Xenopus tropicalis: one gene and its partner. The protein of the gene in region 1 interacts with the protein of each later gene in a biochemical or structural test. Links are inferred from orthologs where the notes say so. Each region holds a gene or a part of one and is shown in the gene's direction. Other genes may lie near its edges.

What was found.
Region 2: of the proteins of ptprc (region 1) and csk, one has a biochemical effect on the other in vitro, tested with the Homo sapiens proteins (2 studies listed by IntAct). The link is inferred for Xenopus tropicalis from reciprocal best matches to the Homo sapiens genes PTPRC and CSK.

The regions. Positions count from the first base shown.
Region 1 is NC_030680.2:111,375,987-111,379,816, forward strand, and holds part of ptprc (receptor-type tyrosine-protein phosphatase C), read left to right. Parts: intron 1-1,026; coding exon 1,027-1,152; intron 1,153-1,555; coding exon 1,556-1,710; intron 1,711-2,557; coding exon 2,558-2,693; intron 2,694-3,830. UniProt on the Homo sapiens protein: Protein tyrosine-protein phosphatase required for T-cell activation through the antigen receptor. Acts as a positive regulator of T-cell coactivation upon binding to DPP4.
Region 2 is NC_030679.2:94,060,073-94,063,902, reverse strand, and holds part of csk (tyrosine-protein kinase CSK), read left to right. Parts: intron 1-1,829; 5' UTR 1,830-1,891; coding exon 1,892-1,906; intron 1,907-2,302; coding exon 2,303-2,416; intron 2,417-3,830. UniProt on the Homo sapiens protein: Non-receptor tyrosine-protein kinase that plays an important role in the regulation of cell growth, differentiation, migration and immune response.

The DNA.
Region 1 (3,830 bases):
TTTATTGCACTGGAACTTATTTTTCAACACTGAGCAAATTTGCATCTGGACAGTAACCTGTGCCAAACAAGTCAAAATTTTTGTTTTCAGCTGTAACTGGCTGAAAAAAGTGACTAATTGATTGGTTGCAATGCATTATTTGTCTAGCACAAACTTGTCCAGTGTTGATAAATGATTAATTTGTCTAATTTTTTCTCCCACATGTGATTTGTATTGGGGAATGGGGATTTGGATGGGAGTTTTAAAGACACAACTTGCATTTAACCTGTCTAAATGAAATGTGCAGTGCAACTCAGAGCAGTAAAGTACTTTTCCCAATGCAGGAGGGAAGCCAAAGCTTGGCATTTGTTAAACTGTCTATTTCTGCTAATGTTACAGTACATACTGTACATAGCAATCCCACTATACATTCCAATAAATTCATGTTGGTTTTGATGTTTTTAGTTTTAATTTAACACTAGTTGGAGCAGTATAAAATATCCAGTATTTTGTGTAGATATAAGTACCAGCTTTGAGTAGGTTCCACCTGGTACAGAAACCCTTCCCCAAGTTCTAATCGCATCAAGGAAAGTGATTATAGGAAAGTGATTTTTCTTATTAATTTTTCAGGCAAAGTTTGCTGCTTATTATTAAGCATTTCATAAATGTTAGATGTGGCTCCTGGGGTAATCTGGGAAACGTTAGACCAGTGACACAGGAGGAGATTAGTTGCCGTACGATTAACCTCCTCTAGCGTTCTCCTCTGAATACTTATGAGTTGTTTCGGCTTTCTGAAGTTACCTGAATTTGCCTTGCGAGGAAACTTTGGTTGAAGCAACACATATGTTTTCCTACCAGTGATTTACATTACAGGAGAGCATTCAGAGGACATTGCAGAAACCTTTACATGTGCATTAGAGTCTGCACACGTGCTCACAGTGTTCTCTGTGTGTGAACTAGTGAACACACACTTTATTTGCCAAATGCATGCTATTGTCCACACAAGCATTCACTATAAAAGTCTATGTTGTATCTGTTCATTTTCAGAACAAATGTGCTCAGTACTGGCCATCACTGGAGGATGAATCTGCAACTTACAATGAGATTGTTCTGAAAATCACAGAGGAGAAAATCTTTCCTGACTACATTACACGGAAGTTGCACATCAACAACGTGAGTAAAATCATCCAAATGTGACAATTGTTTTTAGTAGTTTGCAATTAGGCAGCAGCAATATCAGTTTGAATAAATATAAAAATTATAAAGCAATCAAAACACAATTATGTACAACCAAGCATCACCTAAGATTCCAGTGGCACTGTCTATTTTGAAACATTTTATTGAAAGGCAACAAAGCTATAGGAACTGTATTCCGGCATGTATTGGCCAAGCTGCAATACAAAGTCACCATACCAGACTGCTAGGCTGCTAGCATATTAGGAAATAATAAAACATATATCCAGCTAGAAAAATTCATGTTATAGTTGCAACTATATCTGATGGACTGATATCCAAGGTCTGTTTTGTTTAATTGGATTAATAAATTGCTCTTGATTCCATCTTTCCTTTTCTGCAGGAGAAGGAGAGATCTGAGAGAGATGTGACTCACATCCAGTTCACCGTCTGGCCAGATCACGGGGTTCCCGATGACCCCAATCTGCTCCTCAAGCTACGTCGAAGGGTTAACGCACTGAACAATTTCTTTAGTGGCCCAATCATTGTTCATTGCAGGTATCACTTACTTCAGTTTCCTTTCTTGGCTGATTTGGGGGTTTGCTCGAATTTCATCCAACAATAAGGGGGCCATTTACTAACCGTTTGATTTTTTTCCCAATTCAGATATTTAGCGCTAAAAGTCACGGCAAAAAAGTTGCGAGATTTAGAAATTTACTATCAAATGGCTAAAAATCCGAATACAACCATTCACCAGCTAAAATTTGGCGAGGTCATGTAGTCAATGGCAGATGGTCCTTCTTTTGCTTCAATGAAGGATTTTTGATGTTGTTTTTTTGTGCGACAAATTGAAAAAGTTGTGGTTTTCATGTGAAAAGTCGAAAAATTCAGGATTTTTGCAACTTTTCTCCCGTAGACTTTTGCAGTTGTTAGATTTCTAGTAAATCTGCCTCTAAGATTTGTGCAAAATCCACATTTGGGTTAATGATTGAATGCAAGCCTTATGTTTGCATATGCCTAGTTGCTGGACTCCTGAAGACAAATACTCCTGAGGCAATACTGGGCCTCACAGCAAACTATTTTAGGGAACCTAGGAACTTGGAACCTAGGGCGCAAAACCTGTTGTACACAAATATATTGAAACTGCCCATTAGTCAGCTGTTTTTTTGCCTGCAGTAGTAACTATGGCTGCTGTATCTGTTGTTTTGTCCCTTAAACAGAAACATTTTTATTGTTATCAGCATATAATTTACTAATTCTGATTCTGACTCATATGGAGGGTTAAGATTAGGGATGTTAATACTCACTCAAATTAATCTCAATGTTTCCCCTTCCGGTACTTGTTTAGGATGTACAGCACCATACCTAAGCACTGATTACATGTCCCTATTTATTCACTTTTCAGTGCTGGTGTAGGACGTACAGGAACATACGTCAGCATTGATGCCATGCTTGAAGGCCTTGAAGCTGAGGGTAGGGTGGATGTGTACGGCTATGTTGTGCAGCTGAGACGTCAGCGTTGCCTGATGGTTCAAGTAGAGGTGAGTTTAGTTTAAGCCTTGTTGCATAGTACAAATACACTGCATTAGGGCAAAACTGGTAATAAGTTTCTATTACCATTATAATGACAAAGATTGTAATATCGTGATGACTATTTGTCTCAGTTGCTGTTTGCTGAAAAATATTAACAAATCTTTTGTACATAGATCCTAGAGCGTATGATGTTTTCCACAACATACTAACAACAATATGACATACAATATTAAATGACACATGAGATAAGAACAAACAGGAAAATTGTACTGTAATATGAATTGACTGCAGTGTAGCATTATTTAGAAGGGGAACATCCATCATGTTGTACGCGAGCTCCTCTTCTGACCATTCCTCTCTCTTTCTGCACTAATAATGTTCAATGTATGAGTTGAGTAAATTCAAATTCAAATTCAAATTTTATTTGTCACATACACAGTCATACAATTATGATATGCAGTGAAATGCTTAGATGACTACTATTATTGACCTCAAATTGGAATAATATAGAATATAAGAAGTTAAGAATAAAAAGAATAAAATGAATAAAATAAATGAACACAATAATGCAATAATTGAAATGTATGTAATGCAATGTAGAACCATGGCCAAATAGTTGGCATGATAATGTGCAAGAGTTACAGTTCAACTTCGCAGTGTGCGAAAAGTGCAATGTGCAATTGTCCCACGTGTGCAAAATAAAAAAAGACTTAATCCTTGACAGAAGCTCCCAATGGTTCCTAGATCCATGTGATGTTGTTATGATTGAGAGCTCGTATGGCCTGCGGGAAGAAGCTCCTTATTCCCTAAAGGTCTGCACGCCATTGTCCTGCTTCAGCTATCCCTCAATAGGGTTACAGTATATTCATTTATCATACAGGCTTAGTAATTGTTAATGTATTATTTTGTATTCTGTATTTATTTTGACTCCATATTCTTGAAACATCATACAAAGATAGCAACATAGTAGATGAGGTTGAAAAAGACAAAGATCTTTCAAATCAAATCTTCTCAAAGATTACAAAACAGACTCTAGGTGATACAGTGGAAGCCAAATGAAACACATTTGAAGCTTTTTCTAATTTGTTTCAGAATAGAAAAAAAATTCTTTACTGCCCCCTAACTGGGAGCTGGACAGTCCTCAA
Region 2 (3,830 bases), on another chromosome or scaffold:
TCAGCTGAAATACGCATCATGTTCATAGTATGTTTGTGACCAAAGTCAAAGGATCACCTATTACTCTTTCTATTAAACCATATCTGCTGCTCAAGCTGGTTCTTTGCCCCTCCCTTCGTATGGTTATGCTGCCCAGTCAATTGCATGCTTATTTCCTGCTCTTGCTTCTCCCTTCAGCACTATTTCTGTCTTCTCCAAATTAAAATCATTATCTAAAATAGCAGCCAACAGCTGGGACTCAAATATTTCTCTTTGCCCCTGAAATGTCCAGCCAGTCTGGGGGAGGGGGTGATAATCATCCCTATCTCCTTCTTCTTTATGCAGCTGCGCTTATGAATGTCTGGGCCCTCTTGGGAGGCTCACTGCTGTGTATCAGGCTCTCCTCTAAATAACCACACACAGATGGGAGGGGTGATTATATATATATATATATATATATATATATATATATATATATATAATATATATATATATATATTATATAAATATATAATATTGTACATATGTCAGTGTGCATTTTTTTGTGCATATGCAAGGTATGACCAAGGTCAGGTAGTTTGACATAGTTACCCCTAGCAGCAGCCATAGTTTCATTCCTTTACATATATCTTTCAGTGCAGTGTTAGGCATATAAAATAACAACGAGGATCTGCAGCAGTCTGTTGTGTTAGAAATTTCAACTTAGAGGTTGAGAAGGGACAGTCAGGTTGACAACAGTCAGGTTTAGGAACTATACGCAACAATTACTTCCAATAGCAAACCTATGCAAAAAATGATCCACATGACAGTAACTTTTAATGCATATGAATATTTTGAAGAGAAGTTTTTAGTGATTATCACTTTAAGCCAAATTGGAGTCATTCCCTTTCAAGAACTCATCTTAAGCCAAGTTTTTTTCTTAACCAGCAACTATGAGAAGTATGGAGATCCTGTTTTAGTCCCCTGACCCTACATTCCTTCATCTGTCTACTACGAAGAAATCCCCCTTTGTAGAAATAACAAGGAACTCTCCTCAGCGTTTCATTTGCATGTGTCACTGAACTTTTCATTTTCACATACAAACACTTCCTGTTCTACATCTGGTAAAAAAGCCTAATTTTTATATTTGCTGCAAGTATTCTTTTCTTTTACCAAACTATCCTTTCCTTTTGCAAAACCTTCCTTTTCTGTTTCCGCCATTGCCCTGTGACACAAAAACGTCATTTTGTCCTTGACTTCTCTCACTTATTAACACCCTTTTTTAGGACTGCCCTATCCTTTTGACCTTCTTTGCACAGTGGGTACAGACTATGGCTCCATAGCTCACTGTCACTTTCTGCTTTCTCTCTCTACGGCACTTTTTCACTCTGCCCCACAACTTCTCTCCCCATTATTCCCTGCTGTTGCTCTCTCCTTGAGTTGCTGAAGCCCCCTATTTCTCAAGGGGGGCTTCAGCAACCTGTTATGTTACAGCAAAAACTATACACGTAGATTTTTTTCTGCACAAGCCCGATTCATTGAACTCATGTTAAACTTGTTCCTTTAAGAATGTGTGGGGTAAAAGTAATAACTTGGGTAGTACAAGGGTTGGTAGTTATAAATACTATAAAGAAAGAAGATCAATACATGTAAACTTTAGTACAGGGAAGAGGAGGAGATCCTTTCTTACAAGGTGATGGAATATGTCTTTGTTAGTGGCAAAACAGATTGTTGCTTTATTTGCTGGAAAAGAAAATATTCTGAAGCTTTCACAGTATGAAGGGATCTTTACCATCTTTACATGTTACTTTGTGGTAGAATTTTTTTACATTAAATCAAAGTTCTGACTGATATTTGTTTCTTTTTTTTAGGTCTGATGTTACTGTGTGAATTTTTCTCTCTCTGAGACTTTTCAGCATATATAGCCCCCAACATGTCAGTGGTGCAGGTAAGTTATACTGATAGCATCAAAACTTTACCCATTTACGCTCTTAGGGTCACACTGCACATGGTATATTTTCTTCCAGTGTTTTTCAACTGGCGGAGACCCACCAGATCTCAGACTTGCAGCACCTCACTTGTTTGACAGGCGGTTTCCGTTAAAGCTAATTACCGGCTATATGGTTGGATTCTGATGCTTTCCTTCTGCTCAAAAATGTAGCAGTATGCTACTTGTGCTATGAACCTATTCTACCAATTTCTTTTATGTATTTTCACATCTCCAGTAGCCCATGTTTAGAACAAATTTTTTGTAATCATAGTCACTAAAATGTTAACATTTTTAAAGATCATGCTTACTGCGATGAGACTTTAATTTAGCATTTTTCTGCTTCCCACTTCAAAGGCCCCTTGGCAAGCTGGCACAGAATGCATTGCTAACTATGACTTCCAGGGTAAAGCTGAGCAGGACCTGCATTTTAGTAAAGGTGAAGTGCTGACCATTGTGGCTGTGACAAAGGTAACAAATAAATATCTATTTTATGTGTGATCCGATAGTGCAAACAAACAATAGGCAGGATGTAGAAAATTTGATGGCCAACATACCATATATGCAGGTGCTGGCATTGGTGGTGAGACATGCTGATAACTGTAATTGTGCAAATGATGGAGCACAGACTCCTGTCCTAAATACTCTAAGCTTATTTTGTCATTTTCTATGTCTCTGTTCAGTTTAAAGAGGGTAAAATGAAGTTTTCTAAAATGTTACCGTTTCCCCAGTGAAGTAATGTATGTGAATATAAGTGACTGAGTAGAGCACATTTCCACACACCAGGAAGCTCATATCTTAGCAAGCAACCATGCAACTACGCCGGGGCTTTAGGCTTTTACTTAGTTTGTTAAGGGTCTAAACTGCCATACCCCCCCTCAAAACTTGCTCCATGCTGGAGAAAACAGGTATTGCACAGTTCTGTGAGTTGACCATAGCCTAAGGTAGATTGCTATGGCTCCTTGCTAAAGAATGCCAGGAAGCCATATTTTTTTTTTTATTCCTACACTATTTATATGTGCTACTGCAGAGTTCTCCATCCTTTTTTTTACCCATGAGCCACATTCAAATGAAAAAAGTTTGGGGAGCAACACAAACATGAAAAATGAACCTGGGGGTACCAAATAAGGGCTGTTATTGGTAGTCCCTATGTAGACTGGCAGCATATGGGATGCTCTGTTTGGCAGTACACATAGCCTTTATGCAACCAAAACTTGCCTCCAAGTCAGAAATTCAAAAATAACTACCTGCTTTGAGGCCACGGGGAGCGACATCCAAGGGGTTGGTGAGCAACATGGTGCTCCTTAGCCATTGGTTGGGGATCACTGTGCTACTGTGATATGTTTGTATGACTGCACATTAGGTCATTCATATTTCCACTTTCCCATATTCCCAGATTTTTGAAAGGAGCAAAATAGATAGACTGTGCAAAATAAAAATTGTTTTCAATATAGTTAGTTAGGCAAAAATGTAATCTGTAAGGGCTGGAGTGACCAGATGTCTAACATAATAGCCAGAACTTTACTTCCTCCTTTACAGCTCTCTAAATTGTTAGCAGTCATTACCAATCAGTAACTTGAGGGGGGGCATATGGAACATAACTGGTCAGTTATTTTGCATTTGAATCTGACCTGAGTGCTCACAAACTAACTCAATAGTTATACCCCATGTGGCCCCCTAAAATCACTGACTATCTAAGAGGTTAGAGAGATGAAATCAGGAAGTAGGAGGAGTTCTGGCTATTATGTTAGACATTGGCCCTCTTCAGCCTTTATAGATTACATTTTTGCTTAACTAACTATATTACAAACATTTTTTATTTTGCGCAGTCTATTTTATCCAGTTTTATTTTTACACTGTACTGTTCGTTTAATGCTGAATACAA